2 separate regions of the Mus musculus genome follow, and region 2 is reported to be linked to region 1. Evidence: microRNA targets listed by miRTarBase, many of them from high-throughput screens and not tested one by one. Region 1 holds a microRNA gene; the other region holds the end of a gene's coding sequence.

Evidence for each region. Region 1 holds the annotated microRNA mmu-miR-7212-3p (UAACACACACGUCUCCAGGUC, at 4,532-4,552, opposite strand). A microRNA usually pairs through its seed, bases 2 to 8, with sites in the 3' UTR of a target mRNA and lowers its output. Matches are read on the target gene's strand: a 7mer-m8 pairs with bases 2 to 8, a 7mer-A1 pairs with bases 2 to 7 and ends in A, and an 8mer does both.
Region 2: the mRNA of Adat1 is a reported target of mmu-miR-7212-3p. The part of its 3' UTR that is shown has no 7-base or 8-base seed match.

Annotation. Positions count from the first base shown.
Region 1 is chr15:25,946,011-25,952,818 of GRCm38, reverse strand. It overlaps Mir7212 (microRNA 7212), which reads right to left and starts at 4,592; the gene lies at 4,532-4,592. The region is part of intron 3 of Retreg1 (reticulophagy regulator 1); the gene reads right to left.
Region 2 is chr8:111,963,196-111,970,003 of GRCm38, forward strand. Adat1 (adenosine deaminase, tRNA-specific 1) reads right to left here. Exons shown (of 10, transcript NM_013925.5): 10 at 3,703-5,349. The coding sequence ends at 5,211. Among named protein-coding and RNA genes, the nearest start is that of Adat1, 26 kb to the right of the region's middle.

The DNA of each region.
Region 1 (6,808 bases):
CAATGGTCACTTGTAAGCTTTTTTTTTCCCCAGTATTATGCAGCAACTCTTACTCAATATGGTCTAGGTTATGTATCAATTCTAAGTCCTGTTCATCAGAATATGGTATGGACTTATAGACTCACGGTTTAACTTGGCTGACTGACAACTAAAAAACCAAGCAGTACAACCACGAAGGTATCCAATTCAATCCATAAAGTGGGGAGCTTATGTGTAAGTGCCAGGGACTTAGAAAGTCATGAACCAATGTTGAGCTAGGAACAAAGATTTATGTACTAATTTCTTAATTCTGTTATTTTTTAATTTCTAACTTCACTTTTTTTACAGATGAGTAAAAACTTAATGACAATTAATATTTATCTCTCAACCCTTTGTGATTATTTTTGTCTATACTGTTTTAATATGTTTTTTAATGGTGATTAATTCTGAGAGTTTCATACAATGTATTCTGATAATATTCATGCCTACACACACACACACACACACACACACACACACACACACACTTCAACCAAATCCTCCACCTCCCTCCACATCCAACTTCATAGCAACCTACTCTTGCCAACTCTCTCAAATGCCTTCAACTTAATTCTCATAGAAATATCCAACTACGCATGGTAAGATGTGTTTGCCTACTATACCAAATGTCAGAGTAATAGACGCTTAAGCAAGAAAGCAGGTCATTTCTCTATGTGACAGCTAAACCTAAAGGTCCAGGGTCAATATGGGCATGTCCATGCTTAGAATCCCGGACCCTTCCTTTATTTTTGCTTAGTTATTCTCAAATGACACTTCCTCCAAATGGTCTAAGACTTTGCTTTAGCTATTCCGTTAACTCGTTCACATCATCACCATAAAGAAAAAAAGAGTGCCACGAACACAATCCCCTTTCTCTCTAATGTCATGTAACTGTTATACATTGGATACACAGCTTTCATTCACCCTCTTCCAGCTAGAACATGGTCATATAACTGTAAGACAGTCTAAGAAAGAGTTCACTTGTTAGTGACCATGTTCCAGCTGAAACCAGGATTCTACTGCCAAAGGAAGAAAGGGAAGTTAGTTATTTGGGAAGAATGGGCAGAACGTACCCCAACCACGCTCGTTTGAATCTCTTATTTCAGTTTTTATAACTTATAATTAAGCCTCACAGTTAGCAGCTCAGTCACAAAGAGATGTGTGGATAATAAATACCGCTAATTCAGAAGCCGAGCACCTCTAACGGTGGAAGCAGTTACATATTAGAGCAGTAGCGGGCAAACAATGGATATATTTAAATAAAAGCATAATAGCGATCCAATAAAACATGACTTACAAAAACAGGCAACACAATAGATTTGTCCCACAAACCACAGTGGCCTGCTAGCTCAGGTTGTCATGGGCTTCAGAAACATGGTTTGAATGTAGTGACACTCACTGACGAACCCAGCAACCAAACCAGGAACCAGGAAGATACCTGCTACAAGGGCAGCCTTCCTATTTATTGAGACTGTACTAAAAACTACATTAGCATTCTGTATCTATTGCTTCTTGTCCCCACAACCTCTGACTGGCTGAGGGAAATACCCCGTTTTCCAGAAGATAAGCAGACACAGGGGAGAAAAGCAGCAGCGCCCAGATCAGACCCCACCCCTTGCTGCTCTCCAAGCCCTCTCCCTTCCAGGCCAAAGAATGTTTACCAGAAGTCAGCTGTGACTCACTACATTGGGGATATAGAACCTGAAGAGGCCACCTCCTGTAGCCAGGCAGGAACCCCAGCGGAGCCAGAGGGACACCAACTAACCAACAAAACTTTCGACCCAAAATTTATCCTGTTTACAAGAAATGCAGAGGTAGGGGATGGGGGATGGAGCAGAGACTGAGGGAATGGCCAACTAATAACCGACCCAACTTGAGACCCATCCAATGGGCGAGCACCAGTCCCTGACACTTAATGACACTCTGTTATGCTTGCAGACAAGGGTCTAACATGGCTGTCCTCTGAAACGCTCCACCCAGCCGGCTGACTCAGACAGATGCAGATACCTACAGCCAAACAGTGGGTGGAGCTTGGGGACTCTTATGCAAGAAAAGGAAGAAGGACTGTGGGTCACAAAGGGGATAGGAACTCCATAGGAAGACTAACAGAGTCAAGTAGTGTGGACCCTTGAGGCTCTCAGAGTGTGAACCACCAACCAAAAATATATATGGGCTGGACCTAGGCTTCCCCGCATGTACACAGCAGATGTGCAGCTTGGCCTTTATGTGGGTCCTAAAAACTCAAGCGGGAACTATCCCCAAAACTGTTGTCTATCCGTGGGGTTTGTTCTTCTAGCTGGGCTGCCTTGTCTGGCCTCAGTGGGAGAGGACATGCCTAGCCTCACAGATTCGATGTGCCAGGGAAAGGGGATACCCAGGAAGACCATCCCCCTCAGGCTCAGAGGAGAAGGAGGGATGGAAAGAACGATTGTGAGGAGGGAGTAACCTGGAGGGGGGCAGTGAGCAGGATATAAAGTGAATAAGTGAAAAAATAAATAAAATAAGTAAGTAAATAAATAAATAAGCAAACTATCCTGCAGTGCACGGTAAGTAAAATGCATGCACATGAACTATTGTATCACGAGCAAAGCAGCCCTGTCAGGCTTGCTGTGAAACACACCGCGAAGGCAAAGCTCAAAACAGTCCTGTCCTGGAGGTTTATCCCGGCTTTAGCAAGGAGACACCTAACCTTCGGCTTTGCCTGCATACCAACTGCCAAGGTCTAAAACTCTGGAACCCCTGTAACTAATGAGGGGCTGTGAAGGTGAGGGCGCCATCACAGTCACTGAAAAGTTGCCAGGTCTCCCAAAGTTGAGAGAGGCGGAAGAAGGCATCAATTAATCGTCATCCCTCTCGATCTTGCTCTGGGGCAAACATGTTCCCTTGCTTCCCACACGCGGCTGGCTATGTTAATGTGTCACAGCACGCTCTCCAGACTTCATGATCCTCATCAGAGCCACACACACCTCTTCCAGATTATTAAGAGTTGGCACAGGGGGGTAACCGGGAAGTGGGATATCATTTGAGATGTAAACGAGTGGAATGACCAATTATATATATGATAATTTTTAAAGGGGGACTGGCACAGGGAAAAGAAGCAATGCACCATCAAACCACGGGAAACTCAAGACACAAAAGCTCCCTATCCTGTCTTTCCCCTCTCTTGTGACAAAGGAAAGAGCAGTTCTTTCCCTTCCTTGTCAGGGCCAATGTTTATTGTGTCTGAGACAAGCTGGAAAGCAAATCTATTATTTCTATGTCTATAGTTTCTCCGAATGTGTGTTCATTTTACAATGAAATACACATCTCGGAGCCTTTCTTAGCACACACAGGTAAGTTCCTAGAAGCAGGTTTCCCACTATCTCAGAAGGAAAGCAGTAGGGCTGCTTAGAACCTGTTCTGTTTACCCAGCTATGGAGGGAACCGCATCCTCCACGGTAAGTGGTCTGGCTACCCCAGAACTACCGAACGTACGCTGTAGAATCCTATCCTTGTGCAGCCTTCTCAGCGCAGGTGACACCTGCCTTTTCTAAGAACATACGTATATTTTTAATCCCCTCTCCTTACCTAAGGGTGGAGTCTATGTGTTTTATGACATAATTTTAAGATGCACCGCGGAAAGATGGGTTTGTTTTCAAACTGAAACACTTAGTTCAACTAGCTCAGAGGGAAATGTCACGTCTGAGTCAGGAATCTTTGCATGTGGTTGCCTCTGCTCTGTTTACACAGCTAGCAAGGGGCACCATCGTCACCATCACCATCACCATCACATGATCTTGTTAACACCATTGTGTGGGGGAGTGTGCCCAGTGCTGGGTGCACCAGTCTCCACCCCTGAAACACTTGCACGCTGAGGACGGGCATGCAGAAAACCTTCACGACTCGCTGTTGCCAGGCAGAAGGAACATTCTCGGCTTTGCTTCTCTCCATCACCTCTTTCCATATTAGGCACAACTGCAGCCCTCTCTCGATCCCTCCCTTCCTCCCTCCCTGGGCAAAGAATCTGCTGCAGTCCGGTGATGCCTCTCTGAGACACTACTACAGGCCACGGTGCCAAATCCTTAATAGCCCTGGCTGTGTTTACCCAGGAAGCGAAGATTATGCACAGAGCATGCCAACGAGACACAAATAAGGCTGAAGGAGAAGAGAGGATCTGGATGATTCTCGGAGCCTCCTTTTAAGGTCGTCTCATCTGTATCCCTAAGGAGAACGCTAATTGATCCAGAGAAGCAAAGCCGTGTAGCGCTGCCTTCCTAGTCACCGTGTCCCTTATGTGTATCTCCAGAGACAGCTGGGACATTCCTGCCCTCTGGTTTCCTAATTTCAGCATCAGAACACTCTGTGACCTAGATGTACGATGGGATTGCTACATCCAGGGTTTGCCCCTTGCCTTTCTCAGTCTGGGATTCTGAGGCAGCAGCTGTCTGGGAAGGGAGGTCACTGAAGACAGGCGTGGAGCATGGAAAGGCTAGAGGGAGGACGGAGGAGTGAGTGCGAGGCTGTGAAACAAAGTGACCTGGAGACGTGTGTGTTAGGGTCTCGCTCAGATTCCCCCTACCACACAAGCCCCCAGATGACATCATTCCCATCCAGATCAAAAGGCCCCAGGACAATATTCCCTCAGGAAGTCATTTTTATTTTTTCCTCTTCCATTTTCTGGTGGCATCACAAATAGTTGCTGAAGGGGAAAAAAAAGGTCATGCGCAGTGTTTAAAGACTCAGTAATTTTCCCTCTGAATCCTCTCTCGGACTGGGTCTTGTTATATAGAGAGAATTTAGGCTGCAGCAGGGCCATCCAAACACAGAGAAACTAAAACATCTGGATTTCAGTTGAAAGAGAAGTTTGGTGGCTGAAGGAAATACCAATTTTCAAAATAACCTCTCCTCCCTGGACGTTGGCCCTCTAGTTTTTCAAACACACACAAAAAGGAGAAATTAGGGCACTGTATTTGAATCCCAGACCCTTAACTGGTCTGTAGGACAGAAAGCAGCCCTTTCATTCTCCAGTCTTAAGTTCAAATATCATGTGACTAAACATTTAACGTTCTCTGTCTGCATGTGTGTTCAACTTGTGCACACCCCATATGAGACTCCTAGGCACAAGATTCGTATTTGTGTAGCACACAAACTGGCTTCCTGTCACCCAGCACATGCGTACCAAAGCAGGGGAAGCTGCCTGGAGTGTGAGCGCCACCCAGGCTCTTGCAGCTTAGTGCCTTGGGACATAACCGCAAACCCACGGTTGGAGGATACCCCCTGAGAGCCTGAGGCTGAAGGACTGAAAGGGAAGGGCAATGGTGATATGTGAAGAATGTTCAGAGGTGAATTCCAGCATCCTCCTTACGGCTAGAAGGAACACGTGATGTTCCAGAGAGAACTTTGGTGTCTTTGGGGGAAACTAGAACCAATATTTGTGGACAGGAAGAGATGGTTGTATGTTTATTCACTCACGAAAACCTTTAAACCTCTTGATCTAGAAATAGGAATGAGAAAGTCCACAGTGCCAATAAGATGAAACCACACCAATGTATAAGAGGAATGTGCAAGTTCTGACCCTGAACCTCTGTGGGGAGCCATGGCCTCACAAGGTAGGTTGTTTGGATGCAATTAGAAAGTACTTATAGACATCCTGGACTCCCCTTGAGAATCCACAAGTACCATTAGTCCTTCAAGCCCACAAGGTCCATCTCCAAGAACACAATGAATTCAGACTGACCATATTCAGGGGAGAAGGCTATGCCTGACTTGACTTTGTACAGAACCGATTTCATCTCGCAGAATGAAGGTGAGAGGCCTTGGAGGTCCTCCCTTGTAGATACTGAGAGATAGCTATACTTTTCACTCACTGAAGCCTGTGACAACACTCACACAAACATGACTCCAATCCTAGAAAAGGTCAACAAGGCAAGCTAACCACATAGTCTGCCGTCCCATCCGAAACAGGGAGAACAAATACACCATCCAGAATAGACCCTCCAGGAACCCTTTCCAGAGTTGTTTGGGAAATCTGGAGACCAGGTGACTCTGCACCCCTCCCACACAACTGAGCTGCCATCTAGGGAGGTGTGGATTCTCTTGCTCTGTCTGGCCACTGGGGTGTGCACAAGGGTCCGGTCGCACGGATTGAGTCTGGACTCAGACGTGACCTATTTAGTATTGCTTAAGGATGTGTATCACTAACATTCTTTACTGCTTCTGAGAACTTGACAATGGGCCCTTCATACCACTGGGACAGGCATCAAGATCAACAACTAATAAGTAGAGCCTCATGAAGCGGAAAACCTATAAGGCAAAGGACAGTGTCATCTGAATGAAGCAGCCACCTGCAGAATGGGAAAAAAAAACCTTTTCACCAGCTTCATATCCAAAGAGGACAATATACAAAATATATAAAGAACTGAAGAAACTAGGCACCAAAGTTTTAATAATCCCATTAAAAATGGGGCACAGATCTAAGCATAGAACTCCCAACAGAGGAAACTGAAATGGCCGAGAAACACTTTGAGACCTTCTTAGTAAAGGGCGGAATGTTTGCCCCCTCCCCTCCAATTGGGACTCTTGAGCCACTCAACTAACATGAGGTTCTGAGAATGACATTGCTTGAGTTTTTTGGCTCAACCCTTAAGGAAATGGCAGCTCCTACTTCCAACTATTCAATATCAGTCCCTCTTTAGGAAAAAAAAAAAACCCATAGCCCATGCCCCAATTCATCAACAGCACAATTAATTTCAATAATGGTTGGTAGATGAGGGCAAATCCAGTGGATGCGATATTCTGGTGGACTTTTTAA
Region 2 (6,808 bases), not on the chromosome of region 1:
CACTGCTGAGGGGCCCACCGTGCCTCCCTTCGAGACACCTCTGGGTTCAAAGCGCATCTCATTCTCCTGGCTGCCTGGACAGATGCCCACCACTGTTTCCATTGTGAGCTCTTCCCTTGGGAATACGGCCAGTTTCAAGGGACGTGTACTTGAGACCAATGTCTGGCAGTTTGGGTTCCTACTTGGAGTGACTTTCCGCCTCTGCCTCCCCCCCGCCCCCCAACCCCCCAGCCTCTGCCACACTTGGACACCGGAAAGCAGTGCCAATCAGACTTGATTTGAAAGGTTGGTTCCTAACCCTTGCTGACTCATCCGAATAAGGGCAAAACAGCAAATCCACACCAGAGTCCCCAGGCTGCTAGATTAACACAAAAGTCCCCCTCCCCTCCCCCCATCACTAGTATAACTGAGGCCATAGGCAGGTCAGAGGGTCACAGCATCAGAGTGTCTTCCATTCAACAGCAGGCCTTTACATTGAGGAAAATTCCCCAGTGCTTTACTTAGGCAATTAAGAGGTTTCTTCTGCCTCCGTTTTTGAGCCAGGGTATTACTCCTTAGCTCTGGATGGACTGAACTCCGTAGGCCACGCTGGCCTTGAACTCAGAGGTATGCCTGCCTCTGCCTCCTATGTGTGAATCTAAGGTATGTAATGCCACACCCCACCCAATTAAGAGATGCTAAAAAGTGGAACTAGGGAAAGCTCTGAGCCAAGTGCTTGCTTAGCATGCGGAAAGATGCTGAGTTTGATTCGCAGCACACAACTTTTTAAAAAAATGAGAAAGCCTACCCTACACTTGAAAACACTTGCGCAGCCTAGTTGCTGGTACTTGCTTTTGTAGAACAGAATGGAGGTCACAAGTCAAAGGTTAAATGCCTTCCCAGCATACAGCTGGTTGTTGGTGGCAGAGTTGGTACTATCATGTCATTTGCATCCATGGCTGTACTCAAATTTATTCTGATTCCAAGTAATAAGGACTTTTTTTCTAACACATTCTAAATTGAGGTATAATTACATTTAAAAAAACAACAAAAAAAAAAGGAGCACAGAAAACTGTAGACCTTCATAAACTTCCACAAGATCTGCATTCCTCTATTTAATACCCTAAGTAAAACCCTGACTGTTGGCCAGGCATGGTAGCACCCATCTGTAACAGCAGTTTGGGGAAACTAGGATGGGAACATCACAGAGTTAGAGGCCAGCGGGGGGCCTCCTCCCAAAACATCACCAAACAAACAAACACTACCAACCAAGCAACGTGTGGTTTTGTTTTTCCTAGTGCAGGAGACTGAAAGTAGCAACTTGCACGCATTACCAAGTGCTGCCTCCCACCCACTGTCCCCAGTCTAAATAAATACTGACTAAAAAGGCTGCCTACTCCAGCTCTGAAGCGTCTCTGACTCATTTCTCTCTGTCCTTTGGGCTACAGGACCACCTGAAAATCATTTGGGATCTACTTGGATGGCTTTACAGGGAAACAGGCTGGTTCAGTTACAGACACAGCTAGTTTTAATTTCGGTTTTTTGGTTTTGCTTTTGTTTCTCAGGATAGAAGGTAGCCCTGAATGTCCTGGAACTAGCTCTGTAGACCAGGCTGGCCTTCAACTTTTATCAGCTGGAATTGAAGGCACGCACCAACACTGCCTAGCTTGCTTTTTTTTTTTTTTTTTTTTTTTTTAATGTTTTTAAAAAGATTTGTGTGTAAAGTCAAGGCAACTATGATTCTGCAAAATGAGGTATACAATGAACTATTCTGCTCAGAAAATACTTTCTCTCCTCGACCTCGGCCTCCCTGGCTCTGAGCTCAGGCACAGTCAGGATGGTGTGGCTGTACATCCGGAGCCTGCCTGGCTCTTTCTGAATCTAGCCACTCCCTTTGGTTAGCCAGCTCAGTGCCTTTGGGAAGGTTTGCTTGGGCTCCTGAACAAACACACACACACACACACACACACACACACACACACACACACACACACACACACACACACACACACACACACAGACACGATACACAAGTTCTGGTTTTATTGGTGGCAGGATGGCTGTTGTTTAGAAACTGGAAAACTCTGGCTTAGGAACCTTGTTCTAGGTCTGGGTGGAGGCAGCTTTCCAGCAGCCACAGACACAAGCAGGTCAGACAGGGGGCCTGCACCTCTCCAGCTGGCAACCAGGGCAGCCCCTTCTTCTCCACAGCAACTTCCTCAGTGAGCTCATGCCTGGCACTGGGGAATCCATAAAGCATGGCATTTGACGTGGCATCCCTCCATCCTGAAGAAGAACTATGTGCGCACACAGGTGGTGGCAGACACGGCTGAATCAGATTAGGTTCTGAAAATTCTGAGGAAAACTCTCTCTCTCTCTCTCTCTCTCTCTCTCTCTCTCTCTCTCTCTCACACACACACACACACACACACACACACACACACGCAGAGTCATAACATTAGACCCTATTTAGGCACACACGTAAATGTAATCTTTCCTCCAGAGCCAAATTTGCCTTTTTTTTTTTTAGTTGAAGACACAATTTTGTGGAATTACGCATGGGTTAGAGTTGCTGTTCCAATTCCTGTGCAGCTTCATTTCTGAGGGGCTTCTAGTTTTTCTACAGTTTAAAATATAAAATCCTTCACATTAATTAAAAAAGACCCCTGGGTGGGGTAGCACTGGTGGTTGGGCTGGAGCATTTGCCTACCATATGGAAGGCCCTTCCTAGTTTCTCTGATGAGATGGGGCAAAGGGTCCTGCTGGCCGTCCTGTTCCTGGTGGTGGTCTATGGGCACCAGTGGAGTGGATGGATGGGGAGTGGGGACACGCATGAATGTCCTCATATTCTCTGATTTTACCAAAGAAACCAGGTTTGCTGCAGCCAGGGCCCAGAGAGGACACAGGAGGGACACAGGTCAAATGATAATCAGAGCCACCTTTTCTCTAGAGGTCTTCATGGGTTTGGCCCAAGGCTCACACTGGACAATGTTGCCTGACTGAGGATAAACAGGATACGTGGGATAACTTATGGAGAGGGCTGCTTTCTGGCTTGGGATTTTAGGAAGATAAGGAGTTCCAGGGCAGCCTAGGTTTCAGAAGACACAGTCTGAGACCAAGCAAGCAAGCAAGCAAGCACTTGCCAGGATTACAGAGATGTGATGTTAAGGCATACATACAATTCTAAACTTTTCTTTTTTGGGGCTTTATGAGACAGGGTTTCTCTGTCTCTGACAGACAGCTTTGGCTGACATGGAACTCCAAGTGTTGGCATTAGAGGCATGCACCCCAACCCCCCAGTGTAAACTTGGGTTTTAAGAGCATAAACTAGGATGCAGGCTGTTGGATGTTTAAATACCACCTTTAGCGCTTTGAGACAGTAAGTGAAGCTCAAGGGAAGTTGCCTTTAGTGGTTAGCCTTCAGTGTTTTCTACCCAGATGCCAGTGACTAAGGGTGTGAGTAAACTTGACAGATTATAACTTTAGGAGTAAAAATATATTACTCTTTGAGACCCTTTCTTCCTACTGGGTTTGGGTTGCCTTGTCTAGTCTTACTGCAACTTGCTAGGCCATGGTTGGTTGATATCCACTGGAGGCCTGCCCTTTTCTGAAGAGAAATGGAGGAGTGGATGGGGGTAGGGGAAGGTGAGGTGGGGGAGGAAGGACTAGGAGGAGAGGGGAGGGGAAAGTGCAGTCAGGATGTGAAATAAGTAATTAAAAAATGTTACTACTTCACATTTAATTCAAGTCTTTATAATATAAAAATCTCATAAAAGAACACTGCATGGTGGCACACAACTTTAATCTCAGCACTCAGGAGGCAGAGGCAGGCAGATCTCTGCATTTGAGGCCAGCCCGGTCTACAAAGTGAGTTCCAGGATAGCCAGAGCTACACAGAGAAACCCTGTGTGGAAAAACAAAGCAAAGCAAAGCAAAGCAAAGCAAAACAAAACAAAACACTATAAACCACAGTGACATTGAGTAGCAAGCAGAGCTTCTGCTTCCAGGTGGGAATAAGCTGAGTGCTCTCTCCTAGGTGACAGTTAAACAGGGTTAGCTGCTACGTCGTTTGCTGATTTGTTGTAGGAAATTAAGGCATTTGGGAACTGAGTTAAAAAGAAAACAATTTAGTCAGAACAGGAACCTGGTAAGATTGCTCAGCTGATACAGCTGCTTACTGCCACACACACACCGTGACAGTGTGCCCCCCCCCCCACCGTGACAGTGTGGCCCACACACACACACCTCGACAGTGTGGCCCACACAGATAAAGACACTAAAGACAATCAAACCAGGCATTTGCCTCATGTGGTTTTGTGCAGGCTGGAGCCTTCATTCTTGGCTGGCTGTCTCTGTGTGGTAGGAAAAGACGGTGGCTACTGGCAGTTACAAGACTATAGTGGACCTCATGACATTGCTCAGAAGAGAATCCAGGAAGCAAAGTTTGAGGTGACACTTAGAGGCAGAGGTGGGAAGATCAGAGTTCAAGGTCACCCTTGGCTTCATGTTGAGTTCAAGGCCAGGCTGGGCTATAGAGAGAGGGATCCGGTCTCAAGCAAAAGGTAGAAGGGAGGGGGAGGGGAAGGGGGAAAGGGAAAGGAGAGAAAGAGAAAGAGGGGTGGGGAATGATGGTGGCTTCAAAGTGAGACTGTCTCAAAACCAAAACCCAAACCCAAACCCAAACCAACCAACCTTTCTTGGTAAGTCTGAGAACAGAGCTTTCCGAGGCTAGTCCTGTGCTGAGCCTGATGGTAAAGCTAACTCCAACCATGTCTAGTTGCTGAGGACTGGGAAGTGATGATGGTTACAAAGGAAGGCTGCAAACAGGAAATACATGGTTTTCATGAGTCCGGGAGAGGCTATAAAGCTTCCAGCACCCTAAGATGATTTCAGCCCAATGCGTCCTTGCTGAATCAATGTAAGGAGATCTACACCAGAGCTGCTGCAGGCTACTTTAAAAGCATCTGATGCTGTATTTTAAAGAACCAATAAAACACAATTGAAGGCAGCCATCAAGAGCATTACTGAGAGGCTATTTTAGCACGGAGCTGCTCCAGTCAAGTATAGATTGCTGAGGTTCTGCGGTCCATTTATGACACCAGAGAGGTGCAGCGAGCGCTCTGGGAGAAGGCAGCTCATTCTCCTGGGATTTAACCACCAGAAAAGCAGAGGTTCGTTCAGCATGAAGGGAGAGGCAGACCGATACGAAGGGTCCTGATACCAGCAAGAGTTCATTTAAATTGGTGGTAGTCGGGTGGGTTTCTGATCCAGGACGCAAACGGCTGTATCCTGCGGAGGGCACCCCAGGCTTCCTGGTAGGCGGACGCAGCATCCTTGTACTCCTGATAGGTGTCCAGCTTCTTCGTTACCCTAATGCACACATGCCATCAAGCACAGTCCTGACTGAGTGCTCGCCCACCCTCAGAGCGACGGAGCGGCAGGGGAGGAGCAGAGGGAGCACTCTGTCCCTCCACTCCACAGGGAGTGCATGTTAAAGCAACACAGGCTTAAGCAGGTTAGAATCACACAACACTGGCTTTGTATGGCCCGTGTACAATCAGATCAAAGCTTTCTTTTCTCTGTGGTGCTGAGGATCACAGAGTTTCGTGTACACTGGACGGTCTCCTCCTCCTGTAATCGAGCTGTCTACCCCAGCCCTGACTTAGGGTTTCTACCAGAGGTCCTAGAGACGAAAACCTTGACGGTTTTTTATGCTAAGGACATGACATGACACCTCCACTCTCCTGCTATGTGCTGCAGCTGACATCCTTTAGCCTCTCAGGTGGAAAATGCCCCGTACTCTGAGTAGCTGTAATTCTGAGGAGATTTTCTTTAGATTTGGACCAGGACCAAAATGTGGGTGGGAGTGCTCTGAGTCCTTGTCTTGGCCTTGAGTTCTGCCCTGGCTTTGTGGTGTGAGCTGGAACTCTCCAGTGTCTGTTTAGCTCTCACTCTTTCATCCCCTTCAGTACTGGAGCCAGTTCATCACTTTGGGCTGGGCGGGTGGCTCAGCCGGCAGGGTGCTTGCTGATCAGCACAAAGCTCTGCCTTTGATCCTCGGAACTGAGCAAGCCGGGTGTGGAGCATACTCCTAATCCTAGCCCTTGGAGGCAGAGACAGGAGGAAGGCACTGCCGAGGTCATCCTTGGCTATGTAGCAATTTGAGGCTCCTTGGCCTCAGGAGACACTAACTCAAAGGGGGTATTTTTTTTTTCTTTCTTTCTTTTTTTTTTACTTTCTAGCTCATTACCCTGCCTGCCTTTAGCAAGAATCCTACTTAGTATACGTCTACTAAGAATTACTCTAGCCTAGCTTTGAAATTAGCTTAGAAGGCAGAGGCAGGCGGATTTCTGAGTTTGAGGCCAGCCTGGTCTACAAAGTGATTCCAGGATAGCCAGGGCTATACAGAGAAACCCTGTCTCAAAACAAAACAAAACAAAACAAAACAAAAATTAGCTTAGAATTTTTTTTTTCCATTCTGCTCCTGGCTCAAAGTCTCCACTTGTTCATGTACTTGGGAGCTGAGCCCAGTTTCTTTCCCCTCCAATAGTCCTCTTTACCATCTTTCAAAACGTCTGAAGAAATCTTTCTTTACTACTTCTGCAGCACATTCTTCTCATTCACAGAAGATATTTTTGTTTGTTTGTTTGTTTGTTTTGAGACAGGGTTTCTCTGTATAGCCCTGGCTGTCCTGGAACTCACTTTGTAGACCAGGCTGGCCTCGAACTCAGAAATCCACCTGCCTCTGCCTCCCAAGTGCTGGGATTAAAGGCGTGCGCCACCACGCCCGGCAGAAGATATTTTTTTAATTAAAAATTTTATTTTATGC